4 linked regions of the Macaca mulatta genome follow. The protein of the gene in region 3 interacts with the protein of the main gene of each other region in a pairwise test. Links are inferred from orthologs where the notes say so. Each region holds a gene or a part of one and is shown on either strand. Other genes may lie near its edges. The genes, in order: PALS2, MPP2, LIN7A and PALS1.

Region 1 (7,353 bases), on a different chromosome or scaffold from region 3:
CAAATTACAGACCAGTTTATATAGAAAGTATGTATCAAATACAGAGGACAGGAGCAAACCTAGTGTGGTTGCTTAAGTTCCATGGAACGAGTGACCTTCCAATTATATAAATGAATATTGTATGGCAAATCTACAATTATCAGTTTGATTAGAAAATTCAACATACTGACATTTACTGACAACATACATTTAAATATTAAGATTTTGAAATTTACATATAAAACAAATTTTAGATACACTGTTTTCACTAGAAACATAATCCAAAAGTATAATCTTAGTGGGCAAATTATGAATTTTCTATTTTGCAAAAAAAGCCTTATGGGCATATATTTTATGAAGAATAGGGCCAAAGTGATGATTTGAAATATTATATTACCTGTTGTTACTGTAACTCTCAATCTGTAGTAATAACACTCCTTCCTTAGCTTATTATCCTAATAGCAACTCTTTCTTTGCACAATTTCCCCACAGTAGATTAAACCAATATTAAGAGAAAACAAGCCTACTTCTGCCTTCTATATTATTTTCTTTTAGGGTGTGCTGTTTAGTTTATTACCAGCATAGAGGTAGCTCTGAAGTCAAGAAAGTACTTTTAAAATTGCCAACTGCTTTGATTAAGCCTCCAGAAATTTCTGATTCATAGAGCTGCTTTTTACTCCTGTCATCCTCTGCAACTGGGAAGAATAAATATAGTAGTTTCCATTCTTTCCCTTCCTTCCTTTTTATTTATTTATTTTTAACTTCAAATGAGTAGCCAATACAGGTCTGGGGTTTTATTCTAAATTGTTTTTAAAAATCCTTTCAGCTCTACTGAGGTATAACTGACAAATAGGAATTGTATATGAAGTGTACAACTTGATGTTTTCATGAATGTGTACACTGTGAATGATTACCTCAATCAAGCTATTAAACATATTCATCATCTCACACAGTTACCATATCTTTCTTTTTAAAAATATTTCTTTCTCACACAGTTACCATATCTTTCTTTTTAAAAATATTTCTTTCTGCATGACTAAAAGATTTAAGAAGGAATTCTATTATATCAGACCAAGATTCATGTGGTCCAGTGCTATTTTTCTAAAAGTACCATGGTCAGTGTTATAGCAGGATACAGTTGCCCTTAAACATAACTCTTTTAACATCTTGACAAAGGCATTCTACCCTTTAGAAATGGCACATAAATTACTATTTCAAAATTCTCTGGACAAATAGTTTCAATTATAATACTGCTTCTTCATTAAGACAAGTAAAAATCCTAACCAATTTGTTTTGTTATAACTATACTCACAAAATAAAGCACATCGTAGTATATATAATGCCAGGATTTAAATAATTTATATTATATTGCACCATGTGTTCATATGCCAGTCCCTTGCAACTAGGTACTAATCTGAATTACATTCACTTAAAGCTGTATATTCAGAGTTTATGCCACACTAAATGACATATAGCTACTTCACTTGGACTTCTCAAAAAGTATTTAAAACCTACCTGCATTTCTGGTTGTGAGATACATCATCTTCTTCTTTTTTTTGCTACTTATAGTTCCACAAAAAGGTCCTGAAGGATGATAAAACAAATATAACTTAAGTAGTATGTCAGAACATGAAAAAATTGCCCTGTAGTATTTTATAGGGGTGGGAGAATTATCTTCCCAATGTTGCATCCTAGGAAGCAAAAGAGGGTGGGGGTGAGTTAAGCCACTGAATTTTGATACTCTACCAGCAGGTGGCAGAACGGGATCAAAAAGATTACTTATGAGAGCTAAAGTAGAGGGAGGGATTCATTCTAGACATATTTTAAATAAATGCATTTGCTTATTTAGACAAGAGAGACAAAGAAAGGTGGTCACAAAGGACTGCTTGTTACTTATTTTGTCGAGCTCATCACCTGAATTGTCCCAGTCTCTTCTAACAAATGCCTTTCTCTTCTCTTCCAGGAACTGGCTTGGAATGAGACCAGCGCTTCCTCCCTCTTTTACATGGCTAGCCTAGAATCAAATTAACGAATTGTATATCTCAGTGACCAAAATTTGAGACCATATTCTATTAAGTAGGACAAGCAGTGGTCAGTTAAAAAAAGTCATATTTGCTTTTAAAAACAACCTTGAGATTTACATCCATAGCATTGTCAGTTAAGATACTTAAACAATTCAGCACTGAGGAATCAATTGGCACCTAAAATTCTTCATATCTGATATCTGGTAGTGAAATTTGGGGACCAAAATACAAGTTAAATTGCTTAAACTTCTTATTTATAATACTAAGTTGGAAAAGGAAAATAAACGCTATTCTATAATAAGATGTATTAACACGACATTTTATCTAGCACCCTTTAAAAGACATTTACTGTCAACCTTAATCCTACTATGTTGGTATTTCAGGCCAAATCAAATGAAAAGGAGATACTATTTGGAATATAAAGTGTAGATTTTAATCTATGCTACCAGGAGTATGAATATCCCAAGAGTTTGTAAATTTAAACTAGGCAAAACTTTACCTAACGTGAAATAGCTAACTTTTAAAATAAGCTCCAAAGAAATATTTTAAAACAGTGGCTGGAGAACTGGCTGTTAGTGATTTATCTCACAAAGTTAGTATTTCTAACCTTACAACTAGCATAGAAAATCTAGTATAACTTTTAGCAATTAAAATCCTGAAAAACAGAATTAAAGTAACCAACCATCAAAATGCAGGGAGAAATTGAGAGAAGAATTGAGGTTAGAAGAGAAAACTAAGAGATCACATTCATAGGAAAAAGAAAAAAGAAGGAAAACTAGAATAATTCAATAAAGGACACAGCCACAGAGAGATTTTTTAAATGAGGGATCTAAAAAGTTCAGGGGAAACCTCTTGAAATCATAGATTGTTTAATTTACCCATTTCTTAGCTGTCTCAACACACAGTGCACCTATACGCAATAATGTCTTAATTTAAAGGACACATTAGTAAGACTGCTCTCATTCTGTGATTTGTTTCTCCTTAGAAGTAGATCTATATTTTAGAGCTAATGTGAGTACCAATATCTCAGTTAATTTTAGAATTTGGTGCTAAGTCCTGGATCCTTTCCTCTTACTTCTTGTTCTTTAGTAAAACTCTCATTTGCTTTGATAGTTTAAGGCATTTCAGACTTCCTGACTTGTCAGTTTCTCCAGTTCTGAATACTGTGGTTGTTAGCTAATATAAACAATTACAAAAACAGACTTATTACTGCTGCTAGGGGTTTCTGAAAGCTACATGAGGAGAAGAAAAAAGAATACCATTAAACAGATCTTCTGAAAAAAGGAGGGAAAAATGCAGTGATAATACACATCTCTTTCCATATACACGGATTTTAATCTAAAACCTAACAAAACTGATAGAGTGAATCTCCATTTCCCAGTATCTGAGAAGAGGTGAGCAAATAGACATTAAGACCTTAAGAAATTATGCTTTACTTGCTATGAACGAACATGAGGGAGAGGAGACAAGAGAAAGACCTACTTCATAGTAAAAGACTCCTACTTAAAATAAACAAAACCCAAATATCTTTTTAAAAGGGATGACCCAAGTGAGTTCTTCTTGGTCAATAGCATATTTTAATGCAATTACCCATGTGAAAAAAACCAACTGGTCTATTCCCTAAACCAACTGGTTAGTGCCACAGGCTGGTTAATTCTGCACTTATTAAGAGCTACTTACAAATTCCCTCCCAATTTGATCTTATGTCCACAAAATTAGTAGCCATGAAGCAGGAGCTGTTCATGTGGGAAAAATCATTGTAACAAATGCTAATATTCTTCCTGAATATTCAGATATTAACCAGATCTAAGATTAAAATTAGAAAAGTCGTTGAGGAACTTCTGAGAAGCATACTAACCTGCCACCAATTTGGATCTTCTCTATTTACAATCTGAAGAATTTCTCCTTTGGAAAACTTCAATCCTGCTTCTTTGCAAGGTATTAGGTTATCATTGTATGGATTATAATCAAAATGACACTTCACAAATACCTAAAACACACAGCACAATTAAAAATACTATAGTTATATCACTTCCACTGAATTTAAAAAATCCTTGTCAAACCACTGATTTAATTGTAACTGAAAATGTATTTAGTACTTCAGATAATGAACTTGTCTCTCATAAATGGAAATCAAGTTATTAGAATATTAACAGATTTTGGTATCAAAGATAATAAAACTTCATCTCTAATATCTAACTTTAAATCAACAAGAGTTTGATAATCATTCTATCCCACCATTCTTCCACTTTCCTTCAATCTTTTCACTTGATTTTCCAACCAACACTGCATAATTCTTAAAGCAAGCAAATGCTATGATCCAATTAACATCCTGAAATAATACAGGTAGTTGATTTAAGGTTTATATTTCAGATGTATTAGAACTTTGTGAAAAGGCCCTGAAACCAAAATTAAACAATAAAAGTTCATGTCGAAGTCAGATATGAAATATATTTGGTAGTCTTAAATACTTTTCTTGAATCATCTTGCTCTGATTTATATGCTCATTTTAAATTTAAATGATCAACATTAAATTCCATTGTAAGACAAATACTGAAAAAGTCTTGAAACTATTTTCCATTTTAAATTCATTTGTGTACATACATTTCTTTCACATTTGCTTTATTAATAAAAGTATGTCAGTTTACACTGTTAGTTATGATCTCCAAAATTGGGACTATTTGGCTTATTTGCTTTAATTTAAATTCTAATTAAATTATGCATTTTTGGTATTTGATGGAAAGTTCAGACCAATTGCTTTCTTTTTTCTTTTTTCAGATAGAGTCTCACTCTTTTACCCAGGCTGGAGTGCAGTGGCGTGATCTCTGCTCACTGCAACCTCTGTCTCCCAGGTTCAAGTGATTCTCCTGCCTCAGCCTCCCAAATAGCTGAAATTACAGGCATGTGCCACCACGCCTGGCTAATTTTTGTATTTTTAGTAGAGATCAGGTTTCACCATGTTGGCCAGGATGGTCTCAAATTCCTGATCTCAAGCGATCTGCCCTCCTTGGCCTCCCAAAGTATGGGGATTACAGGCATAAGCCACTGTGCCCAGCCCAATTGCTTTCTTAAAACAGACTTGTTTTATACATATTTATAGAAATTCAAATGTTATCTTCTAAAGAACTGCCTTAGCATTAATCAGCATGTAAACTGTAATAAGCAAGAAAGCACACAATTAGTCAAAATAACAATGTTCTTTTTCTATTTGTTTATCATACTTCTGTAACCAAACAAAATTCAAATAACACAAGTAGACATATTATATTATTAGTGTGGTAAAAGTACTGTGATCAATGCATACAAAATAATTTTAAAATAACTAAATCTGGGAACATGTAATAAAATCTTAGTTATTTATAATTAGATGATTTTCACAGAAAGCATTCAGAACATTTTCAACTACTCTAGAAAAGCTAAATATTAATCCTTAAATCAGTAAGTCAATAATTTTTTTTCCTGATATATAATTTTAGATCTAAAAAGCAAGCATACAAACATTAAGATTGCTAAAGTGTGACAATTGGCTAACTTGATAATGTCATGCAGCTCCATGTTTTGAAAACAGGAAAAAACCAAAATAATTAAATTTAATCAAAGAAAATTTAGTTGGCTAAGACAGAAAAATGAAGTACCAGAGAATGTTCTGGAATGACAGCATACCTGATGGATCTGTGCTGGATGCCTCTCCATACTGATGCAACTCTAAAAATATATTTGTAATTGCATAAATAAAGCCAGACTTTTAATTTATAATAAATTAAGAAAATATAAACAAACTACTAGACCATTTTATTACTTCACTCATTTGGTAAGGCAACTACCTCCCTAATTAATTGTCCACAAAGTATAATACCTGCAAGTTACAAATGATAGAACAAAAAGTTAAAGGTATTTGAGATCAGGCAGAAAGAAAGGATTGGTATGCAAAGTTATAAAAATACCTGCATACTCCTTACTTCTCAAGAAAGATGCAATGATTGAAGAATAGCAAGAGAATCCTGTCATCTAACCACGAATGTGATTACCATTCTTATGTGTGGAACAGAATATATTTTGTAACCATAAAGCTCAGACTTTACAAGATAGTCCAAATTTCAAATATTCATTCCTCCAACATCCATGGAATTGTTATGGACATGCCATTATTTGTGGAATACAAACCACATCTCTCAAAGGTAAAAGATTTCTAGAATAATTTCTATTTTTTTTTTCATTTATTAAAGTAGTTTTAGAACATTAGTCTTAAGGTCAAAAACTCAGATTAACCTGATTTTACTTTGAACTTCGAAAATTTTTCTGAAAAATCAATTAACCCAACCTTTGATCTAACCATTTTGTAATGACTCTAAAACCATTAAAGATATGACTAGACTTAGTATAATTATATTTTATTAAATGCAATTTAAAGTGTTGCACTTACAGGCTATGGATGTTAACTGCTCATTCATCATTAAGAAATGACTAAACACCACCTACTAAAATATCTATTTCATATTCTTATTACTAAAAACAACTGAATGACCAAAACAATTTAAAGTATAAGGAAAAGGAAGTACAAATGGCTTTTAAGCATAAGAGATGTTCAACAACCTCATTCAGAGTAGAAATACAAATTAAAACTACTTTATTAACACTTTTTTCCTATCAGATTAGCAGAAATCCTTGTATTTTATAACCTTCTATAAAAGAACTGTGGGTTAATAGGCATTTTCTTTCTAAAAGGCTTGTGGAAGAATGGTTCAACCTCTTGGGAGGCCAATTTGGCAATAGCTATCAAGATTACAAACGCATAAACCCTCTGACCTAGTAATCCATGTCTGGGAATGTATTCAACAGCTATGTTATGCAGATACATCCAAAATGACTTATGCACAAGACTACATTATTCCTAACAGCAAAAGATTGGAAGCAACCTAATTGTTTAACAAAAAGGAACTGGTTAAACAAATGACGGTATGTCTACATGATGTGGTACTATATTTAGTCGTTAAAAAAGTGTGTGTGTGTAGGTGATGTGTGTCAACAGGAAGTGTATGCACCAATAAGGAAATATCCTCAAGATAGATGGTTAAGCAAAAAAAATAAGGTTCAGGATAGCATGTATACTATGCAACCTTTCTATGAAAAAGGAGGTGGAAGGTGAAAAAGGATATGTAATTTTTATTTACTAGCATATGAATGAAGAAATTCTGGAAAGATAAACTAATAGCATAGTTTTTACTGGTGGGGGGATGAGGACTAGGTTGGTAGTGGGAATGATTCGGAGGGAGATCTCAACTGAATACATATTTACATTTTTTGATTTTCAAACCATGAGGAATGATTCACCTATACAAAAATTAAATTT
Region 2 (7,795 bases), on a different chromosome or scaffold from region 3:
GCACGAATCATCCCATCACCTAGGTATTAAGCCCAGCAACCATTAGCTATTCTTCCTGATACTCTCCTTCCTCCCCAGCTTCACTTTTTTGGTTGGCTTGTTTGTTTTTTTTTTGAGATGGGGTTTTGCTCTGTTGCCCAGGCTGGAGTGCAGTGGAGCAATCACAACTCACTGCAGCTGTGACCCCTCAGGCTCAAGCAATCCTCCCACCTCAGCTTCCCAAGTAGCTGTGACTACAGGCACGCACCACCATACCAGGCTAATTTATTTTTTATTGTTTGGGTAGAGACAGGATCCTGCTATGTCGCCCAGGCTGGTCTCAAATTCCTGGGCTCAAGTGTCCTCCCGCCTCGGCCTCCCAAAATGCTGAGATTACAGGTGTGGGCCAGGAACCTGACCTCTACCATACCCAACTCTTAAAGGGCAAAATGCTTGCCCTCTACTTCCTTGTTTCTCATCCCTGTGGCCTGGAATGTGAATGTGGGGTAATAAACACCCTTTTCTTTTCTCTTTTCTTTTTTTTTTCTTTTTTTGAGACGCCAGGCTGGAGTGCAGTGGCTCAATCTCAGCTCACTGCAACCTCCACCTCCCGGGTTCAAGCAATTCTGCTGCCTCAGTCTCCTGAGTAGCTGGGATTACAGGTGCCCGCCACCACTCCCGACTAATTTTTTTGTATTTTTAGTAGAGATGGGGTTTCACCATGTTGGCCAGGCTGGTCTCCAACTCCTGACCTCAGGTGCCCCACCCACCTCGGCCTCCCAAAGTGCTGGTATTACAGGCGTGAGCCACCGCGCCTGGCCAAACATTCTTAAACCATGTAGATGGGTGCATAATCTTGGAGTAACAAGATAGATGGTGCTTGGGCTCCTTGTAGATCAGAGGCACCATACCTCCTGGCTGCCAGCTTGGTCTCTTACATGAGAGAGAAATAAACATCTATGATATTTAAGCTATTGCTATTTGGTATCTATTAAGGCAGGTGCAGGAATATCTTAACTAATATGTTCACAAGTTGACTGATTCGATAACCTAGGAGCCCACCACGTGCCAGTATCACATCAGATGCCAGGAGCCACGAAGACACAAGTCCACAAGGGCCTGGTGAATAAGGGAGCCGACTGTGTCTGACATAGGTCAGAACTGTTCCTCCTTGAATCCATACCTCTTTCAGGACTTGAGTTTCTGCACCTACAGCACAGGCCTCTTGAGACTGTTGGGCCCTTGAAAAAGTTTTGGATTCAAACAGGAGCTCATCTGAGAACAGGAGCACTCATGTGGAGGGGATGTGCACAGAACTCCCAGGGGCTGGAGCCCAGGGACCCTCACAGTATCTGATTTCAGGCTTCGCAACACACACCAGCATTTTATTTTTATTGTTTTTCGTTTTTGTTTTTGTTTTTTTTTTGAGATGGAATTTCGCTCTGTCACTCAGGCTGGAGTGCTGCGGAGCGATCTTGGCTCATTGCAATCTCCGCCTCCCAGGGTCAAGTGATTCTTCTGCCTCAGTCTCCTAAGTAGCTGGGATTATAGGCACGTGCTACCACCATACCCGGCTAACTTTTGTATTTTTAGTACAGACAGGGTTTCGACATGGCCAGGATGGTCTCAAACTCCTGGCTTCAGGTGATCCGCCTGCCTTGATCTCCCAAAGTGCGGGGATTATAGGCATGAGCCACTGCAACCAGCCTATTTTTATGGGTTTTAAAAAATTCTTTGGTTGCTATTTAAGCCATTAAATAGAAATACCCTTTAAACATTCAAACTATATTGGAAATATATAAAGTACTGGAGAAGCCCTTGTTTTGGTATAAACAGGTCTGAGTCATTGACCAGTGTTTTGAAAAAGTCAGTTTAAGTAGGCAGTCATAAAAACACATACAGGTCTTAGTCACTTTGTTTTGACTTCAAACACAAAATACACATTCAGGCACAAATTTTTCTTTGGGTATCTTGACTCAAATCCGCCTTTGACTTTCTTGCATAAATCACACCCACAATCCTATAATTTGTCACCTATTATTTCCAATTTATTTAAACTTAAAGACACTTGTGAAGCAATCTGATGTAGCACACGTCTAGATTTTTAGGATTTTCCCTTAATAGTTTATCTTTCACACCTAATTCAACATGTCAGCAAATCTCTTTGTGTATTACTTCCAAAGCACTTAACGTAGTTTGCAAGGAAACAATTCTTTATGCACTCATATTTCATCAGTTTATATAATATTTAATTCAATTATATGATTACAATGACGAATACACCTGGCATAAACAGGCTAGGGACACATCCAACCAACAGACAACTCAACCCAGAGGTAGTTGAGTTCTTGCTTTTCTAGACCAGGAGTCAGCAAACTATAGCTCTGTGGGCCTGTTTTTGTACATTCTATGGGTTAAAATGCCTTTTAGGGGCCAGGTGTGGTGGCTCACACCCGTAATCCCAGCGCTTTGAGAGGCCAAGGCAGGCAGATCACTTGAGGCTGGGAGTTGGAGACCAGCCCGGCCAACATGGTGAAACCCCGTCTCTACTAAAAATACAAAAATTAGCCAGGCGTGGTGGCATGTGCCTGTAATCCCAGCTACTCAGGAGGTTGAGGCAGGAGAATCTCTTGAACCCGGGAGGCAGAGGTTGCAGTGAGCTGAGATTATGCTGCTGCACTCCAGTCTGGGTGACACAGCAAGACTCTGTCTCAAATTAAAAAAAAAAAAAGCCTTTTAGGCCAGGCACAGTGACTCATGCCTATAATCTCAGCATTTGGGGTGGCTGAGGCCCGAGGATCCCTTGAGTTCAATAATAATGAAAAGAATGGCTTTTAAAGTGGTTGAATCTGTAAGCGGTTAAAATAAACTAAAAAAAATTTTATGACATGAAAATTACATAAAATTCAAACTTCAACATCTGTAAGTAAAGATTTACTGAAGCACTACCATGCCCTTTTTTTTTTTTTTTTTTTTTTTTGGTGTATTCCATGGCTGCTTTCAAGCTACAGTGGATGAACCTAACGGTGTCAATAGAAACTGTATGGACCACAAAGCCTAAAATATTTGCTATCTGGTCCTTTACAGAGTTTGCCTACCTCTGTTCTAGAGCGAAGCCTGAGCCTTGAGCACGCACCACACCATAGGTATCTGTTACTGTTTTGCAGAAGCTTCAGGTAAGAGGGAGGGCTCCTAGGGGAGCTCCTACCATCAAAAGTGAAAATCCCTTCCTTCTTGGCATTGCTGTTTCCTAAACCCACGCCCCACTCTTCCCAAGGTAGCTTCATGGTTTGCTTCCTCACTTCCTTCCTGGGCTCAAGTGATCCTCCCACCTTGATCTCCCAGCACACTGGGATTACAGATGTGAGCCCCTACAGCCAGCTCTCATTTTTCTCTATAGCACTTACCAGACATATTTCATGCTTATTTATTTATGTATTTATTCATTTATGTGAGACAGATTCTCACTCTGTCACCAAGGCTGGAGTGCAGTCGCACCATCTCGGCTCACTGCAATCTCCGCTCCTTGGGTTCAAGTGATCCTTGTGCCTCAGTCTCCCGAGTAGCTGGATTACAGGTGCCCGCGACCGCGCCTGGCTACTTTTTGTAGTTTTAGTAGAGACAGGGTTTCACCATGTTGACCAGGCTGGTCTTGAACTCCTAACCTCAGATGATCCACCTGCCTCGGCCTCCCAAAGTGCTGGGATTACAGGCGTGAGCCACCGCACCCAGCCTCCATGCTTATTTATTTTCTATTTCCTGTCGCTAGAATGTGAGCTCTATGAGAGCAAGGATTTTGCCTGTTTGTTCACTGCTCTATCCCAGTGCCTAGATCAGTGCCTGGCACACAGCAGGGACTTAATAAGTGCTTATTGTGTGAGGATTGAATTACTCTTTTTATTTTCTTTCTGAGATAGAGTCTCGCTCTGTCACCCAGGCTGGAGTGCAGTGGCGCGACCTTGGCTCACTGCAACCTCTGCCTCTCGGATTCAAGCAATTCTCCTGCTTCAGCTTCCCAAGTAGCTGGGACTACAGGCACGCGCCATGACACCTGGCTAATTTTTGTATTTTTAGTAGAGATGGGGTTTCACCATGTTGGCCAGGCTGGTCTGGAACTCCTGACCTCGTGATTCACTCGCCTGGGCCTCCCAAAGTGCTGAGCCACCACACTTGGCCTGAATTACACTTGCTGTATGACAACCTGCTGTCTGCAGGACCCTGGGCATAAGGAAATGCCTGAGGGTGGAAAGCAGTGGAGCAGTGCTGCACAGTGCATGGTGATCAAAGAGAGGCCTTGTGTGCGGAGTGGGTACAGGCAGGTGGGTGATGGGGTACAGAATTCTAAGCCTCTGGGGATGAATGGCAGAGGCTACACCATCTTGATGAGTGGCCCTTGAGCCCACTGGACAAGGAGAATTGTTGGCTGGGGTCCAGGTCCATGGTCTCCCTGACTTGGGGTGGCCTTGCCAGGTGGTCTCAGAATGGGGACCAAAGGAACCCTTTGATTCTGTCCCCTCCCCCTTTGATTCTGTCCCCTACCCTTCAAAGACAAACTGGAGGCAGGTCCTGGTCTCACTTGGGACCTGGGATCACTTCTACAAAAACGATTGTTTCTGAAGTTTCCCCCCTCACACCGCAGACATGTCTCATGGCCACTGAGTCATGCAGCAATGATGGGTGTGGGTGTGTGGATGGGGGGTGGCTGAGCCCATTGATCGAGGGCTGAGACATCTTCCCCGCTAATCAACAAGTTAATAAGCTCTTCAATGAGGAGGCGGTGATTAATGAACCAATCAGCTTGCCCTGTAATTGGGGACTAAGATTGGAGGGTGGGGGTATGATGGATAGAGACGGTTTGCAGGGATGTGCGGCTGGCTCCTGGTCCACACTGAGACCACCTAGGGGCCCATTTACTTTGGCTATAAATGAGGAAGTGACTTCTTCAGAGGTTGTAGCCTGAATTTAGGCCACCCCATGCCCTCTAGCTTCTACAGTGTCTGTCCTCTCTTCCCATCTGTCCTTGGACTCCACGCTCCCCAAGACATAACAGGGTTCCAGGGATGTCAGATTCCCTGTGGCCATCTCACAGGTTCCTTCTTCTCTCTGCCTGGGATCGGTGCACTAGAAACCCCCTACAACCACCAGGGTTAGTGCTGCAGGATCAGAAGAGCAAATACCTACTCTCTGGTATCCTTGCCCCTGTTAGCCTGCAGGGTCCTTCTCTAGGCCCTGACCCCTGGGATCACAGATGTCCTAACCAGCCCCCACTGCCCCCTCCATCCTAGGGTGAGCGCCTGTCTTTTGTCTTTCCATGGAGGAATGGAATTCTTTGATTTCCGCTGTCTCCCCTCCAAACAGGACAAAGGCTGTGTCTCTGTATCTATGTTCTGGGAACCCCTCAGACTAGGGCTCCCCTATGACATGACCATGTCTCTCCTTTGAGACTGGGGTTCTTAAAGGACAGGGGTGTGCCTTGCCCCCTGGATGAGGGCTTCCTAAAAGGAATGATTTTTCTCCTCCCTCCAAGGGCAGGATCTGTGTCCCCTTGTCCTGGTGTCCTCTTCCACCCCCATGCTCAGCAGGGCACCCTGGTGTTTCCTGGGATGTGGAGTCCCACGGGGCCTGACTGGCTGATAAGGAGCCATTTCCGGAGAATGCAGGTGATTGAACCCATAAAAGGGTGACAGAGAGCCCTGAACTCCCCATCTCAGGAGAGCTCTAAAAATAGCGCCAACAGCCATCTGTCCTGGGGCTGGAGGGGCTGGCTCAGCACCAAGGGCCTGGACAAGTTGGCCCTGTCAGCCCCCATGGGCCAGGGAGAGGAAGCTGGAAGGACTTTATGGGGAGACCTTCCCACAGCCCTTTCTCCTCCTGGGCAGGTGGGTTTGAGGGGGTTGGCAGTCCGGAGGCCCTTCCCCTACTTGGCCTCTCAGAGTGGGTGGTGGGCCCCAGGCTTAGTCTTCGGGTCCCTGCTCCCAGGCCTGCCTCTGGCGCCCCAATGGCTACTCCAGGTGCTGAGCCTTTCTGCCCCTCACAATTGAGAGGTCCTCTTCCTGGGGTCTGCCTCACCCTCCTTTTCCTGTTTGAATCGTGGGTGACCTTGGCTGCTCCATCACCTCCCAGGACTTCAGTTTGCTCATCTGGAAAATGGAGATACACTCAGTTCATCGTCTTGTGATGCCTGAAATTACGCACTACCTGGTGCACAGTAGGTGCTTAATAAACATGAGTCCTTTCCTTCAAAGGATCTGGGCTTAGAGCCCAGTGGAAACTGCCATGGGCCGGGGACAGTGGCATGTGCCTGGGAAGCCTTGGCATCACTCAGGCCCAGAAGACACCAGTGCCCCGAATGACACCTGCATAGGGGTGGAGACACTCTGCCTTGGGAGGGGGCTCTATGCCACACATGGCTGGACCGGGGTCTGTGTGTGCCAGTCTGGATACATAGGTGGCCAACTCAGCTGCTTCTGGTGGGGGGATTGGCTTCTGCCTCCGCCTGCCTCTCTTCCAACTCTTTAATAGAGAGAGGACATAATGGAGTGTTCAGAGAGGCCTTTCCCCCAAGACACCATAAACTGCAGGTCAGGAGCCAAGGTCAGGTGCTCCCACCCTGTCTCCAGGACACTTTCCCCAAGAGGTCCTGTCACTCCTCAGCCCTTCTCCAAACCCTTTGAGCAGAGGCTGAAAAGGGTCGTCTTTTGGAAAGAGTGGTCGTAGATCCCACAGACTGGAGGGAATGTGTCCACCCTCCCACCCCCAACTCCCACCCACGGACAGGCTAGGGAAGACAGAATCTCAACTCTGGTCTTAGCGGCTGCCCCAGGAGTCTAGACCCAACCGCTTCACTTCCTCAGGAGACTAGACCTGCCACTGGGGGGCTGTGGGGTGAATATGGGGTTCAGGCTGGGTACCCCATCCAGTGAGACCCCGAATCTGAGCATGGCAGCTGCCCCCTCAGCTCCTGCGAGGTGGAGACATCACACACTGGCTGCGTATAAGCTCAGTGATCTGGCGAGGGTGGAAGGAGGGAGGAAGAAGGGCCCACCCCCTACTGGCTCCCCCTCCCCCAGGACTCCCCCTCCCTTTCTAGGCGGGGATATAAGCCCCACAAGGAAAGCGCTGAGCAGAGGAGGCCTCAGCTTGACCTGCTGCAGTGCAGCCCTTGGGACTTCCTCGCCTTCCACCTCCTGCTCATCTGCTTCACAAGCTATCGCTGTGAGTGGCTGGGGGCTCAAACATGGTCTGCTACCAGGAAACCCAGGGTGTTTTGTGGGGAAACTGAGGATGGGTGGTGGAAGCTGGGGGTGAGTGGTAGGAAACTGGATTGGAGGGGGCCATTGGAGGTGGGAAGGAGGCCTGGGAGTCCCGTTGCCAGCAACTAACTCTCTGGGCAGCAGCGGGAGTGGGGGTGGGGAGGCAGGCAGGGCTTATGCCCCTCTCACAGATGAGGAAACTGAGTCAGGAGACGGTGCAGTGCCCGAGAACACACAGCAAGCCAGTGGCTGAGCCTTGGTCCGGTACCAGCCCCAGGAAGAGCGTCGGAGCGCGGCCCCGACGGCAGCCGCAGCCTCCCGCCCTGGAGGGTCGAGGCTTGGAATGACCCATCCCCCAGTATCGCCTTCCCAGATGGTGCTCGTGCGCAGGCCGTGGCCCGCCTTGGCCACAGTGATTCTGGCCCTGCTCGTCTGCCTGGGGGCTCTGGTCGACGCCTACCCCATCAAACCCGAGGCTCCTGGCGAAGACGCCTCCCCGGAGGAGCTGAGCCGCTACTACGCCTCCCTGCGCCACTACCTCAACCTGGTCACCCGGCAGCGGT
Region 3 (8,025 bases):
AAAGTCCCTAAATCCATGCGGTCTTTAATTCCTGAAGCATTTCTATGTTCTTTAATATCCACGTGTTAAGTATCAAGGATTGCATTCTGCTTTGTTCCCTTGAGTTGAGCTGAAGGTCATTCCTGGTTTTAGAGATTAAAATCTGAGCAAACTAACCTCTGATGTAGAGAAGAGTTGCTACGAACATTTTAAAGTCTGGAAGAGAAGAATTCCACCCTAATCTCCTTATCAGTATCTTCTCTTTGTTACAAGGGTAAATGGCATGTACTACTTTCTATACCACTGTCTAACATAAAATATTGGACTGAAAATGAATATATCTCCTATTATGACCACTTGGATTCAACATGTAGATTTATGCATAGTGACATGTAAATTACAGTGCTCAGTATATTTCTGAAAATCTAATTATAATATATGATGTTTTAGTCTTGCAATACAAAGAAGCAAAAAGCTGATCTATAGATTTTCTTGGCATATATAATTAAATTTCTACCCCAGGATGCATAATTAATGTGTTATTATTTCTTGGTAATTTCAGTTTTTAATCATTTTCTTGGTTATAAATGTATAAACTGAATGACAGACAAGTTGTGACTGTGGACCTGCTTTTATGTATACTCTTCACTCTCTCCAGAATCTTAAGGATCTTACTAATCTAATATACCAAAACACAGTTTAAATTTTGCTTTCTCAGTGAGCCTTCCTCGACCAATGCTAACCAAACAGGCCCTTCTCCATTATTCTCTATTCCAACCACATGTTTATTTTCTTCAGAGCACTTCAAATTTTCAAATAATCTGAAATTCTAGTTATGAGTTACATCAACTGACCCCTGGCTACCAACTTCACGCATCCCATTTTTCATATTCTTCCCTCTCTCACTTTTCACATTGACCTTCCTGGATGTTCCCAGTATGCACAGGAGTTCCCCCTGCTGAGGACATTTCCCCAGGTATCTGCAACTTTGTCTCCTCACTTTCTACAGGGCTCTTCTCAAATGTCACTGACTCAGGAGAGTGTTCCCTTACTAACACATCTAAAACAGCAGCCCCCATTTACAGCACTCTCATTTACCCAGTTTTATTTCTTCTCCTTGGCACTTGTCGTTGTATATGTATGTGTTCATTGTGTGACTCTCATTAGCATGCAAATGCCATTAGATTTTATTTATTTTGTTCATTAGCACTGGCACAGTGTATAAAGCAATGTTTGGCATAAGTCTGGTGCACAATACTTATTTGTTAAATTAATTAATTAAGCCCTTACTTATCATCCGTCTCTTCCATTAGACTCGTAAGGACCACAAAAGCAGGAACTTTTGTTTCTGGTATTCCTCAAGCATCTTGCATATAGTAGGTGAAAAATGAATGTTGAATGAATTAATATTTGCCTCTGTGTGTATTTTAATCTCCCTCTCCTAGTAGGTTCTAATTACAGTGAAAAGTAGAATTATATCTTTTTATCACACCAGTGTGTACCAATTCCATAATAGGTTCTGGCTTATGATAGGTACTCATTAAGTGAAGGATATCAAGGACTGGGACCAAAGTCAACAAGAACTTACAATGACCATAGCCACCCAGAGGACTTTACAGGGTTGATCTCAGGTCTTAATGGCAGATCAAAAAGAGTTTTGGATAGGCACAGAGCCATGGAAGTCTGAAATCACCTTGTTCATCCTTTTGGGGCCCAGCCTGGACCTTGAAAAAGCTTACTTCCCAGAGCAGACCCAAGAAGCTAGGTGGAGACTTCTGAGTTTCTTACTTTCAGATATATCTTTCAAATTTGGAAAGCAGTAAATCTTAATTTTGATCCCTAGCTTTGATTTGTTTGCTTAAAACGTTCGCCCTGAAGACTATATCCATGTATGATGTCAAAGGGTAGCAAACAAAAAGTAATTCAATTTTAACATAAAATTTCCACTAAACAGAGCAACCTTGAAAACATCTCTTATCTTCACTTTTTCATGCTTTTTCATTTGTAAAATGAAGATACCAAAAAAGAACTAGCAGCTCTAAAATTATAGATTATATATTCAGATTTGCTGGGATGCCCTTGGGAGGCTTTGTCCATCACCTTCTTCCCTTCTTCTCCTTTGCCCACCTGCCACAATTTCTCTTGGTTAAATGTCACAGTTTTGGTGAGCTACTGTTACTGATGGGAATCCATCAAGTGTATAAGGGGAAGGCTAGGTTGAGAATCTCTGGCCTATGTTATCACTATCATCCTTTCCATGTCCAAAATACTGTGAATCTATGAAATGCACCTCAGTTCACTAGCAAATCACTATATTTTAACATTGCTTAAGTTACTGCTATCCTGAGTTTACTTACCCCAACTAAACATTAATTTTTTATTGTACTGTGAGTCAGGGACTATGGCAGACACTGAGAATTCAAAGATGAATTTAGAAATGGTCTCTTCCCTCAAGGAGTTCCATCCAATAGGGAGACAAATGCAACAGAGTGTGATAAATGCTTTAATGGGGCCAAAGCAGCAAGTCAATTTAAAGCATATCAAAGGGTACCAAAGCAGCCTGGGAGAGAGGTGATCTGGAAAATCTCCCAGTAGGTGACCAAAAACTGAGTCCTAACTCTAATTAATTGAATTATAGACTGCTAAAGCTGCACAGTGTTAGAATCATCTAATTCAAACTCCTGATGTGGCACAGAGAGAATCTGATGTCCAAAGAGGCTCATATATGCAGAGTGAGTATCAGAGTTACAACTGGGACCCAGATATGTAATACTGGGCTGCCTCTTTTAAAATGCACCTTTTTTTGCAGGGAAATTTTTAGAACCTTTTCTTTCATCAGTTTAATAATGAAAGTAATCAATTAATCATATTTTAATAAGGTACAGAGAACAATTATTTATTTATATTGACTTTATGCTCAGTGGTGATGCCAATAACCCATCATCTCTTGGTTATAGATTTTCATGAGCTGCTGGTGAATTTTTTCAGACCTATCCACAGGGTAACCCTGTTTGCCTCCTGAGCTACTCCATGGGCGTAATCACACTCAGAAGGACAAGTAGAGTTTGGTTGTGAACAAGAACAAACTTTAAGAATAAATCTTAGTCCGATTAGCACCTCCTCTCAACAACTGACTGAGGCATCTAAGGGCTAGGGTAAAAACCAAACATTGAAATATTTTTATTAGTAGTAGTAGTGGTAGTATATAAAATGACTCAAGTATGCAATCTTCTTGGAGTTTTTGCTCCTAATGTAGTCACTTGGTTTGGGATGTTTAATGACTGTGATTTTGTAATGGGACAATATAAGAGCACATCACATTAAAACATAAATACTTGGGAAGCCCATAGTTTCTGATAGCTTGCCATCTGTTTGGTTCTTACCGGCAATGGATTTATCCTGCTTAGTGCAGATGATGATATTGTGGGTAAGATCATGGATTATACAATGGATTTCTGAGGTCTTTAACTACTGTTATTAATTTTGCCAGCTTGCAAATCAACATTTTCTAATATAAAATCAATTACATTTTATTTTTCAACTCTTATCCTAAGAAAGGTTGCTATGGGCACCACATAACATCTGCTCTGGCGCCAACAGATTGCGTAAAGTCACCCACAGTCTCTTCAAATTAAAAACCTCAAACTGAGTTCACTGGCTTTGTCACTGTACTCCCAGCAGGATGCTCTTTTGCCTTGCCCCACCGTTCAGTTTAATCCTCTAGAAAGAAAATTTTTAGAGGTACATCGGACTAAATCATTTTTCTTCTGAGCACACAATTTCCAAATGGCCGCCCAGGGTCCTAAATCCGGCGGCTGCGGAGAGGGACTAGCGGGTGTCCTCCTCTGCAGAGCCGTGGGACTCGAGCGCCTTCATCACTGGACGTTGGAAGCCAGGAAGGAAACCCATACACTCAGGGACAGGTATAACCCCGCGCGGGTGCACCAGCGAGGCCCGGATCGCAGCAGAGGTCTCCATCCCTGAGCTTGGTGGGGGCGTCCTGGGGAGGAAGAGAACACTTTCCCCATTCGGGTCAGAGAGCAGGACTGACTGGGTCGCAGGTCAGAAGTTGAATTTTAACCCGACCTGCGCTTTGTCCCCGCGCCTTCCGCAGCCCGGGCGCCGCGGTGGCACAGAGCTGGGAGAGGACGAGAGAGGCTGGCGCGGGAGAAGCCGAGAGTTGCTACCGACTGGGAGCTGCCGGCGGCGGGAGCAGACGCGACCCTCGCCGCTTTCGAACGCGAAGCCGGGGAGAGCCGAACTCGGCTGCTGGGGCTCGGCTCCCCGCGCTCTGCCTTGCCCTTTCGGCGGAGGGCAGCTACCTGCCTGCTGCAGCCCCGCCACTGTGCGCCCGGCCGCCCCGGGGTGCGCCCAGCCCGCCCCCCGAGCGGCCGCCCTGACTCCAGCAGTTGGACCGACCCTCGCCCTCCGGCGCCTGGACAAACTTCCTTCCTCCCGCGCCCCCGCGCCGAGCAGGCTGACAGGCGGCTCCCTCGCCGGTCTCCTCTGGGCTCCGGCCGGGCGAGCTTGCTCTCTGCCCCTCTCCAACCCCGAGCCCCTGGCGCCTAGCCGTCCCCAAGCAGCCGCTCCAACAAAGCCAGAGGCCCGGAGACGACCCGGCGAGGGACTGGGAGTGGCAGCGGGGACCCTAGAGCCAGAAGGAGGAGTCCCCTCGGCGGGGCGAGTACAGTGGGAAGGGGCAGCGGGGATGTAGCGGGGAGAGAGAAGGGAAGAAAGTGTCCTGCTCTAGGCGCGAACGTCTTCCTGGCTCGTCCTCGCTCCCCTTCTCCCCCGGCCCGAGCGCGTCCCGTGTCCCGGTGGGAATTGGCAGGCGGGGGAGGGCGGAGGGGAGAGGGGACGCGGTGGCCTGGCTAGCGAGCCGCTCCCTTACCTCTGTCCAGGGTGAGCGGCTGGACCACTGTCAATGTCGCCATGTCTGCCGTGGGAGCCGAAGTGACGCTCGGCTTCAGCATCAGCAACCGCTCGTAGTGAGAAAAAAAGGAGGAGATTGGGGGCGGGGGTGGAGAGGGAAGACGGAAAGGAGGGGGAGGAGGGGGAAGAAAGAAGGTGGTGGTGGTGGAGAAGAAAGCTTGGGTGGGTTGGTAGCCAGATGGAGAGGCAACTGTTCCGCGGCGGCAGATCTTTCAGTTGCGGTGCGGAGCTGAGCAGGTATCCGAGAGCGACTGCATCGCCGGGCTCTGGGAGGGAAGGCTCTGCCCTGGAACTTTGCTATTCCACCCCCAGGAGCACTGGGTGGGTGTAGCTGGCGGACTGCTTTCTTTCAACTTTCCACTCTAATAAAATGGTCAGAATATACGTGTGTGCATGCGTGTGCGTGTGTGTCAGGGGAAGAGAGAGGATAGAAAGGGGATATGGGGGAGGGAGTGGGAGATGAGTTTTCTCAGATTAAGAGAAATTGCCAATCCAATAATCCCATCTCCTTTAGAGAGAAAATGCTTCAGTGTCAGAAATGTTTGGGATGCAATTACATTTGCAGTTAATTTCTGTTGAAGTTTTTCGGAATGTTGACCTATAACGGCATATAAAGATAACTGACTAAAGGCCAGAGTTCCATCAGTAGATGTTCATTTAGGATCTGAGTATATTGCCTGGAAAAAAAAAATATAGCAAACCTCTTAGAAGTGCTTCAAAATAAAAAGCATGGGGGTAAGTTTCTATCCCTAAGTTTTCTTTTCTTTTTCAAGCCACTGTTAATACATTACCAATTCAGTAAATGTAGCTCAGAAACAAGTAGAGTGTTCAGATTTTCTCCAAATTTTTTACATACCACGTCTTGTAAACATGTCCCACTCCCGCCCAGCCACTCAACAAAAACTTTGCTCTTAATGTCCAAACTGATTTTGGTTGTCTATCACTTAGTTTGAAAAATATGTGCCTAGCACTTTTCATGTTGATTTCTAACCAGTGGGTCAGAGATGTCACTTATTGATTAACAAATATGCCAGGAATTGAGATAGAAGAGTTACATTGCCTTGTGCCACGCCTTGATTTAGGAGTTCAATTTAGTCTCTGACTTCCTGTAGCCTGTAATCTAGTGGGAGATGGTGTTATTAAAAGCTTGACTTTAGAGCCAGTTGATCAGGATTAAATTACAAGAGCCTTCAAATACTGACTGTGACCTCTTCGCCCCAATAAAAAGGCTACTTTCACTATCTTGTCATAGTAGGGATTCATTTCCTGACATAAAGAAACCTTCTATAAGCTGAATAGGGGTGACTGTGGGTGCAGGATTGGAAATGACAAAGCTGCCTCCATCTTGTTCCCTGTGACAGAGCTGAATTGTTTGGGCTAGCAATAAACTCTAAAAGGCAGATACAGTTTTATAGCAAAATATTTGCATATAATTGATGCCATTTTCTTCTGATTACAGATATGGTTTCTGAAGGTCTTTTTCATTTTATAGTCTACAATTGAATTTTAAAAAGCAACATTTCACCAATGTGGGAAAGCCAAAGATGATTGGCCATATATAGACTTAACAGACCCTAAAAACAAACCTAAAATAGTAGTTCAATATGCTTATTTTTATTTAGTATTTAAGGAAGAATGCTGGTCTTGACATTTGAGTCTTAGTTATGTGCTCTTCAGAAGTCACACAATTTCTCACTGATCCTGTTTCCTCCTCTGTCATACGGTGAAAATATTATTCAACCTCAAAGAGATTCTGTCATATGAGGAAACAAATTCTACCTTGCAATCTCACTGAGATTTGTGAGGGACTAATGGACTCATACATGTGATTGTGCTTTGAAAACAGTAAAGAATATACAAATTTATTTGTACAAGCATACATCCCCTGGAGCCATGTGGTAAGCTCTGTGCTAGGTGCTAACCATGCAAAGATTGAGTCGGCCCACTCTGCCCAGTCTTGCTTGAGAGATGGTGAGCAAACCATAAACTTCTGTGCGGTAAGTACTCTAAGCATTATTGAAAGGAGGTGCTCTTGGAGGCCAGAGGTTGAAAAAGCAACTTTGGTTTGTTACCATTATTCACATTCCCTGAATTAAGCAACAGAAAGAAGTTGAGATGAGCTCAATGATACCAGAGTGTGTTCTAAGCTTTTGCATAAAATTATTAAACCTCACTCAGTAACTGAGGATAAAAGAACATACAGATCCCTTGACTTCTAATGTAGTTATTTTACAACATCCTTTATTAGGGAATATGTATTTAAGCAGCTTGATTCATCAGCCCAAAAGTCATAAATTGTACCTGTTCCAACACAAATCCCTGATTGTGGTGTCAATGAAGGTAGAGTTTTTTTGTCTTTTTGTTTCCTGATGCATCCTCAGGACCAAACATTTCATAGCGTATTTCTGGACTTATGCCTTGAGCTTCCTATTTGAAAATTTGCTCTGTCATTCTTTCTCTGTGTTGACTCTGTAGGGTTGTTGTTGCTGTTTTTAAATCAAGATTAAAAGAGAAATTAAGAGGAAGCATAAATCACCATAAATTCATCTGTTATTATTTTTAGTAGTGGAAAGTGCATTCCCTTTAGCTTATGTCTGCACAGGTATAGAAAATTTAATAATAATTCATTATCCATTAGATTTGTTTTTATCAAGAAATAATATCTCTCCAATAATATTTGTGAATTTCTTTTTGAGACATGCAGGGATATACTTGACTTAGTCAAATGCCATTTGCTTTGCTTTGTGTATTAACCTGAGAATTGTTAAAATATTTGTTAATTATGCTTTTATCTTAGCTATTTGATTACAAAATCACTACACTCTTTCATTAAATGATACGTAGAAATTTAGTTCAGTAGTAACTATATTTTCATGGCGTTAACTAGTTCAATAAATACTTAGTGAGCACGTATATGTGCCAGACTTGGTGCTAGGTTGGTCTCTCTTTCCCTTTCTTTCCAGCCCAGAAAAGTAGGTATGTTTATGCCATTTTGGAGATAGGTAAACTGAAGCTCACAGAGTTTACAAAACTTGCTTAAGAATAGTAGCACCTGGCTTCACCTTCACGATCTCCTGTGATTTCCACTAAGAAACATCACACTCTGTTTTTTTT
Region 4 (7,797 bases), on a different chromosome or scaffold from region 3:
CCACCACACCCAGCTAATTGTTAAATTTTTTTGTAGAGATGGGTCTCCCTATGTTGCCCAGGCTAGTTTTGAATTCTTGGGCTCAAGCAATTCTCCCACTTTGGCCTCCCAAACTGTTGGGATCACAGGTGTGAGTCACTGCACCTGACCCACTAGAGAGTAGATTTGTTATTTGCTGTAGGATCTGCCCTCTTTTAACATGAAAATATCTTTAGGATAAATAACTTTTGTTTTTGAGACAGGGTCTCACTCTATTGCCCAGGCTGGAGTGCAGTTGTATGATCTCAGCTCACCGCAGCTTCAGCCTCCCAGGCCTAGATGATCCTCCTATCTCGGCCTCCCAGGTAGCTGGGACTATAAGCACATACCATCATGCCTACCTAATATTGTATTTTCTGTAGAGATGGGTTTTTGCCATATCGCCAAGGCTGGTCTTGAACTCCTGGGCTCAAGGGATTCATACACCTCGGCCTCCCAATGTGCTGGGATTACAGGTGTAAGCCACCATGCCAGGCCATTAACTAACATTTTTATAGCACTTCTTTTCCTGAAAAAATGCCCTTCTGAATTGTTATAGCACTTTAAAAAGGAATTTCACATATTTTGAGATAAGCAGCTGGTCTGCTATCTCACACTCACAATAATAATCATTTTATTAGGGTGGGGTCCTGTGACGGTATCTAAGCAGCTGAGGAAGCAAGGCTAGGTACTTGGAGGGTTCATTTGGATGGAGGCTTTTTTTGTGTGTGTATTTTGTTGTTTTGAAAAACTGCCGGCCGGGTGCGGTGGCTCAAGCCTGTAATCCCAGCACTTTGGGAGGCTGAGACGGGCGGATCACCAGGTCAGGAGATCAAGACCATCCTGGCTAACACGGTGAAACCTCGTCTCTACTAAAAAAATACAAAAAAGTAGCCGGGAGTGGTGGCGGGCGCCTGTAGTCCCAGCTACTCGGGAGGCTGAGGCAGGAGAATGGCGTAAACCTGGGAGGCGGAGCTTGCAGGGAGCCAAGATCGCGCCGCTGCACTCCAGCCTGGGCAACAGAGCGAGACACCGTCTCAAAAAAAAAAAGAAAGAAAGAAAAAAGAAAAACTGCCTGGGGCCAAGAGATTAGAAGTTATGGATAAAGATATACTATCTTTCCAAAGAGGTCCTTTCTTTGAACAGCTAGATCTGCAGTTCTTACCTGAAGATGATTTTGCCCATCTCTCCCCATGAGCTTTGGTAATGTCTGGAGACGTTTCTGATTGTCACATTGGGGAGGGTGATGCTACTGGCACCTAGCGGGTAGAGGCTGGGGATGCTCCTAAACATCCTATGATGCACAGGACAGTCCCCACAAGAATTATCCAGCCCAAATGTCAATAGTGCCAAAGATGAGAAATATATAAGCTAGAGAAAGAAGAATTCATTGAGGAGCTGGAGGAAGCTTCTTGAATTATTATTTATGTTATATATTTAAGAACTTAGAGGCTGGGCACAGTGGCTCACGCCTGTAATCCTAGCACTTTGGAAGGCTGAGAAAGGTGGATTACCTGAGGTCAGGAATTCAAGACCAGCTTGGCCAATGTGGCGAAACCCCGTCTCTCCTAACAATACAAAAATTAGCCGGGCGTGGTGGCGGGCACCTGCAATCCCAGATACTGGGCAGGCTGAGGGAGGAGAATCGCTTGAACCCGGGGAGCAGAGGTTGCAGCGATCCAAGATCGTGCCACTTTACTCCAGCCTGGACAAAAGAGCAAAACCCCCTCTCAAACAAAAACAAAAACAAACGAACTTAGAAAAGGAAGTAAGTCAAACACACTAACCGTTTTTTTCCTTTTGGGGTATGGCTAATAGTTTCTAGGAATCCTGGAGACTTTATCTGGATTTCAGTTAGGCATTTCGCCAGTTCTGGCATCTTTGTGGAGGAATATGGGCCAAGAAGACAGTTCGGTTGTGTCGTCCATCTGTATTCGAAGCCTACTGAGAAATTTTTTGATGACAGGAGCATTAAGGTCTTTAGTGGCATACAGCAGACTTCTGTCCTCAGCTCTGTCTTATTAAACACTTGGACAGAATGCTTATCAGATTTGAGAGGGATAACAAATCTGGGAAGGGTAGGCATCCCCAAAGATCTTCACCACCACGAACAATAGTTTGCTTCGTTCAGAGCATCACAGTGTCCTTAGTGAGGGACACTAACAATCCATAGGCTGTCCAGAGGAGCGTAATGGGGAAGAATGTGAAAGAACTTGAAAGTCAGGACCTGAGGACGTTGCGAGATGGAAAAACACAGTGGGACAAAATGAGGAAAACCGAGAGAAATGGAAATGGCATATACGAAGGCTTTGAGGGAGGACTATGCCCCCTGGGGGAAACCGTACACCTCGGCTGGAATCATAAGCATATTTTGGCCTCATAGAAGGAGAGGTCGATTAACAAACCTTGCAAGGGTTCAAAGGTGGGATGGGCTTCCTCGGAAGGTACTGTCAAGACAGAGACCATCCGAGGGCTTTTATTGCAAGTGTCGAGACACATTTGCTGGTATTTCTCCTTAGAACGTACTCCAATCTGCTCTGACTTCCGCCCGCACCCGCCAGAGCCCTGCCCCATTCCAAGGGTGGCACATCCAGGTCCCGAGGGCGCCAGCCATGCCCGGGACATGGGCTGGTCTGCGTAACTCTCTGTCCCTTCGGGAGACTTCTGGGAAATAGTTCTAGTCCTTGCCATCCTTGCTTTCTGGTTTTCAGAAGTCAGTGCTGCTGGTGGCTTTCTGGAGTCTTCTGTGGAACACTGCACACATCCAGGTGTTTACGTCATTTTTTTTAAAAAAAGAAATGTTAGATTGTGAGACTAACTAGACAGGACATGAGGAATCTCTTCAGGAGGACTCGGATTTTCTTCAGGAGCCGTCATCCAGAGACAGAACAGCCAAGGGATGTAGAAACCCAGGGAAGCCTCGCGTCCCCACACAGCCCGCGGGCCAAACCCCGAAGCGGCTCCGCAGGGACAGCCAGCTCCTAGCAGCCCGGGTTTTAGACTTAGAGGCGCGCGACTGCGCGCACCCGGCGGGAGCTGTGGAGAGGACCAATGACCGGGCGCTCTCTCCGCGCCGGCTCGGGATTGGGCGAGCCGCGCCAGCCTCTCACGGGCGGGGTGGGACTGGGATCCGCGCGCCCGCTGCGCCAGAGTCCCGGGGGCGCGTGCGCGGTCTCGCGGCGGCCGCAGGGGCCGGTCTCGCGCGGTCTAGAAGTGGAGTTGCTGGCGGCTGCGGCGGCGACGGCGGCGACGGAGGAGGTTGGCGGTGGGGCGGGGGCGGGGACTAAGGATTCTGAGGTGGGGAGTCGGGAGTTTCTGGATTCTTTATCCGGTATTTTAAGGGCCGCCGGAGAGCTGTCGCTTCTGCAGTGCTTAGGAGCAGCCGGGCGGGAGGCTCCGCGGAGCCGAGGCGCGGAGGTAAGAGGTGGTTCGGCGGCGGCTGGGCTGTGGAGATCTTAATCAACAGGTCCCCGGGAGCGCGGCGGGGGAGGGGCGGCCGGGCTCCCCTTCCCCCACACGCCGCTCAAACTCTGGCCAGCGGGAGACCCCGGGCCGCCAGGCGGGCTTCCTCAGGCGCGGCAGCTTCGGCGGTGGAGGGTGTGAGCCCAACCTTTGTCCCTCGGAGCAACGCTGCCTGCGCGGTGCCCGCTCCTTCTGCTTGGCTGGGCATGCACCTTGGCGCGGGCCACAGCCAGCCGGGCCCGAGGTGCAGGGGGCGCGGCGGGGAGTCGTCTGCCCCCTGCGCTCCCGCCCCGATGTCGCGACGCGCGGGACTCCCCCCGGCCGGGTCTGGGAATCCGGCGAGGGAACGCTTTCCTTTAGAAGTCAGAATGTAGTCAGCGTTCCTCTGCCTGACTCAGCTGCTGGTATTCTGCTGCCTATTGCGTTCTTAAACAGGCAAACAGTTCCTGCTTCCTTGTGACCAGTTTTAAAGAAAAGCCTAATTTTGTTGATGGTTTCTGATAATTTAAGGTTGCACGTTGAATTTGAAGCCTGTACATTGTTGTATTCTATGTTTAATGAAGGTTGCTTGAAACGATCTTTGTAGTAAATTATGTAACTTTCTAATGATCATAACTCACCTTCTGTTGATTGACGTACAGTAATGTGTATGGAATGTAAGTTTCGGTCGAAAGGTTTTTCTTGGCAGTTTATGCTAAAATTAAAATCTGATGATTGGGAAGATTTTAGACGTAGTATAGAGTGTGTGTTTTGTCTCCATACTTGTTTAGAATAGTAAAAATTTAGATTCGGAAAGTCAGTTGAACAAAAATTTTGAAATTTTGATTTGACACAGTGAAAGGTGTTAATATTTCCGATTTTTTAAAAAAACAATATCATGTTTTAATGATAGTTTACTAATTATGCTTTTGGATTTTACCAGAAGTTAATAACCTGTTAAATTCTGCAGTAGGAACAAATGACGTGTTGGTTATTGGTGTCTTTAAAGTATTGGTGGTAATGAAACTTATTAAATAAGCGTCCTTGAATTAAGAACTACCGATTTTTTTTTTTTTTTTTACTAGATCCCTGTGGACATAGCGTATTGTGGATAGGTTTTATAGGCTTTCTATTTGCAGTAGGATGAGCTATTAAATTATAATGTAAGAGATTTATAGATAAAAAAGGCAACAGTAGGAAAAGCAATTCATTATTTAATCTTTAAAAATCGAGTAAATTTTACCATGTACCTGAATTACTTTTGGCTAGACGGACTTGAACTTGACAAGTTAAGGTGGATTGATTAACATTAACTTGTTTTAGAATGTTAAAACGGGAGAGAATATATAAGTTCTTCCTGAGGGTGACCCAAGTCAGTACAGTGGATTTAGCTTTTACATGATCTTGAATTATGGTTTTGATTAAAAATCTCATCACGGGGTACATGTTTTCAGGATCTCCTGAGGGCTGTCATGGAAAAAATTTAAAAAATAAAATTTTATCACACATTCCAAGAAACTTGATCAATTTAATAGGTTATACTGAGATGCCCTGTTTCTCTGATATTTTCTGATTTCAGAGTGTCTAGAAAAAATAGTGTCTTGACATATGTGCTTTACAATATAATTTTCTTTTCTTTTTCTTTTTCTTTTTTTTTTTGCGAGACAGAGTCTCGCTGTTGCCCAGGCTGGAGTGCAGTGGCGCGATCTTGGCTCACTGCAGTCTCCATCTCCCGGGTTCAACTGATTCTCCTGCCTCAGCCTTCCAGCTAGCTGGGACTACAGGCGCCTGCCACCACACCCGGCTAATTTTTGTATTTTTAGTAGCGACGGGGTTTCACCTGTTGGCCAGGCTGGCCTCGAACTTCTGACCTCAGGTGATCCACCCGCCTCGGCCTCCCGAAGTGCTGGGATTACAGGCGTGGGCCACCGCCAGAATACACACACACACGCACACACACCCCCCGCCAGAATACACACACACACACACACACACACACACACACACACACACATATATCTCACTCAGGCTGTAGTGCAGTGGCGCGATCCCGACTCACTGCAAGCTCCGCCTCCCGGGTTAAGGCCTTTCTCCTGCCTCAGCCTCCCGAGTAGCTGGGACTACAGGCCCACGCCATCATGCCCACCTAATTTTTTGTATTTTTTTTTTTTTAAGTAGAGACGGGGTTTCACCGTGTTAGCCAGGATGATCTCGATTTCCTGACCTCATGATCCGCCCGCCTCTGCCTCCCAAAGTGCTGGGATTACAGGCGTGAGCCTCCACACCCGGCCTTTATAATTTTTGGTCATATATTTACTGAATCATAGGATCGTTGAGTTAGAAGTAATCTTAACCTCTTCATTTTCCACGAAAAAGACAGTGAGGGTTGAAGGAGTTAAGTAATCCGTAGTCTGACTGCTAGTTAGTGGCAGACTTGGAACTACATGAATGCTAAAATGCTTGTCTCCATATTCTAAGTTCACTGCTCTTCTCAGGATGTCTTATTGTTAAACCAGTAAGTTGCCTTCTCCAAATCACTTAACAGGCAGGGTTGATTCTTTCTGTCATGCATTTTTTCCCTTTTCTTTTTTAGTAACCACTAACTGCAATTCATTTCCTTACTGAAGAGTTTTCAGTTTTCTAATATTTCAAACAATGTTTAATGAATATCTTTGTGCATGTCTCCTTGAGCGCATGTGTGGAGGCTTTCCTAGAATGTATGTATACCTACCTATAAGTGGAATTGCTGATAATAGGTTGATACGCGTTTTCAACATTACTAGCTACAGCCAAATTATCCTTTTTAATGCTGTAGCCATTTACATTCCTGCAAACAGTATGAGTGACAGTGGCTTCATGTCCTTGCCCACAATTGGCATTGTAAGATTTAAAAATTTTTGCTAATCTGAGGGATGAGAAATGATATAATTGCTTCCTTTCTTTAAAAAATATTTAATTTACATGAAATGAAATTAACTCTTTTCATTGTACAATTCCAACTCAGAGAGCTGTGCAACTAGCACAATCAAGGTAAAGAACAGTTCCATCACCTATCCATTCACCAGTTGAAGGACATTCGAGTTGTTTTCAGGTTTTTGTGACTGAGTGAAGTTGCTGTAAATCTTTGCAAATAGGTTTTTGTGTAAACCTAAGTTTTTGTTTCTCTTAAGTAAATGGAATGTGGTAGGTATAGCCTACTTTTATCTTAAAATGAAAAAAAAAAGACCTATCTGTGGCAGACAGAATAAAGGTTTTCAAAGATATTCTAGTCCCTGGAACCTGTGAATGTGTTTGCTTACATGGCAAAGGCAAATTAAGGTTGCTAATTAGATGACTTTAGGGAGATTATTGTGGATTATTCAGGTGGTCCCAGTGTGTCACAGAATCTTTAAAAAAAGGAAAGAGAGAGGCAGAAGAGTAGAGTCAGGAAAAAAAGATGTAACAATGGTCAGAGAAGTGCAGAGTTGCTGGCTTTGAAGATGGAGGAGAGCAGGCCACAAATAAGGAATATGAGTGGTCTCTAGACTCTTGAAGAGGCTAGGAAATGGGTTACTCTTTAGAGCCTCCAGAAAAGAAAGCAGCCCTGCCAGTAATTTTAGCCAAGGGAGACATATGCCAGACTTCTAACCTGTAGGACTGTAAAATAATTTCTGTTGTTTTAAGCCACTAAATTTGTGGCAATTTGTTACATTGGCATAGGAAATTAATACACTGTCAAGCTGTGCTTGAAGTGGCTGAACCACTTTGCATTTCCACCAGCAATATATGAGAGGTCCAGTTGCTTTACATTCCTGTCAGCACTTGGTATGGTCAGTCTTTAGGTTTAACCATTTTAATAGTATCTCGTTGGGATTTTTCTTTGCATTTCCCCCATGACTGAGGATGTTGAGCATCTTTTCATGTACTTATTTGCCATCTGTTTATCTTTGATAAAGTGTCTGAAGCTTTTGCCCATTTTTAAATTGGATTGTTATTGCTGAATTTATTATTATCTTATTCTTTTTTCCTTTTTTTTTTTTTTCTTTTTAGGGATGGGGTCTCACTATGTTTCCCAGGCTGGTCTCAGAACTCCTGGGCTCAAGTGATTCTCCTGCCTCCGCCTCCCAAAGTGTTGGGATTACAGGCATGAGCCACTGCCCCAAAAGTTCTTTATAGTCCTTTATCTTTTGTCAGATAGGTGATTTACGAAGGTTTTCTTCCACTCTGGCTTGCCTTTTCATCCTCATAACTTTTATACTTCATTACTTTTGAAGTATAGAAGTTTTAAATTTTGAGAAAGTCCAAATTATTAATTTTTAAAATTCGAATATTGTATCTACGAACTCTTTGCTCAGTCCA

Evidence for each region.
Region 1: the proteins of LIN7A (region 3) and PALS2 interact in binary tests that used the Homo sapiens proteins (3 or more experiments, as listed by UniProt). The link is inferred for Macaca mulatta from reciprocal best matches to the Homo sapiens genes LIN7A and PALS2.
Region 2: the proteins of LIN7A (region 3) and MPP2 interact in binary tests that used the Homo sapiens proteins (3 or more experiments, as listed by UniProt). The two-hybrid records come from large-scale screens. The link is inferred for Macaca mulatta from reciprocal best matches to the Homo sapiens genes LIN7A and MPP2.
Region 4: the proteins of LIN7A (region 3) and PALS1 interact in binary tests that used the Homo sapiens proteins (3 or more experiments, as listed by UniProt). The two-hybrid records come from large-scale screens. The link is inferred for Macaca mulatta from reciprocal best matches to the Homo sapiens genes LIN7A and PALS1.

Annotation. Positions count from the first base shown.
Region 1 is NC_133408.1:103,722,955-103,730,307, forward strand, and holds part of PALS2 (protein PALS2), read right to left. Parts: intron 5,709-7,353; coding exon of another isoform or gene 5,667-5,708; intron 3,994-5,666; coding exon 3,862-3,993; intron 1,994-3,861; coding exon 1,894-1,993; intron 1,564-1,893; coding exon 1,495-1,563; intron 1-1,494.
Region 2 is NC_133421.1:68,313,448-68,321,242, reverse strand, and holds the start of MPP2 (MAGUK p55 subfamily member 2), read left to right. Parts: upstream 1-3,478; 5' UTR 3,479-3,556; intron 3,557-7,069; exon of another isoform or gene 7,070-7,194; intron 7,195-7,591; exon of another isoform or gene 7,592-7,605; coding exon of another isoform or gene 7,606-7,793; intron 7,794-7,795. Other genes in the region: PYY (peptide YY), read left to right, coding at 7,606-7,793. UniProt on the Homo sapiens protein: Postsynaptic MAGUK scaffold protein that links CADM1 cell adhesion molecules to core components of the postsynaptic density. In CA1 pyramidal neurons, required for synaptic KCNN2-containing channel function and long-term potentiation expression.
Region 3 is NC_133416.1:88,055,635-88,063,659, forward strand, and holds the start of LIN7A (protein lin-7 homolog A), read right to left. Parts: upstream 5,165-8,025; 5' UTR 4,953-5,164; coding exon 4,871-4,952; intron 4,664-4,870; exon of another isoform or gene 4,549-4,663; coding exon of another isoform or gene 4,094-4,548; intron 3,950-4,093; coding exon of another isoform or gene 3,766-3,949; exon of another isoform or gene 1,171-3,765; intron 1-1,170. Other genes in the region: uncharacterized protein LOC114670904, read left to right, coding at 3,766-3,949, 4,094-4,548. UniProt on the Homo sapiens protein: Plays a role in establishing and maintaining the asymmetric distribution of channels and receptors at the plasma membrane of polarized cells.
Region 4 is NC_133412.1:140,406,076-140,413,872, forward strand, and holds the start of PALS1 (protein PALS1), read left to right. Parts: upstream 1-3,186; 5' UTR 3,187-3,276; exon of another isoform or gene 3,277-3,435; intron 3,436-3,761; exon of another isoform or gene 3,762-3,884; intron 3,885-7,797. UniProt on the Homo sapiens protein: Plays a role in tight junction biogenesis and in the establishment of cell polarity in epithelial cells.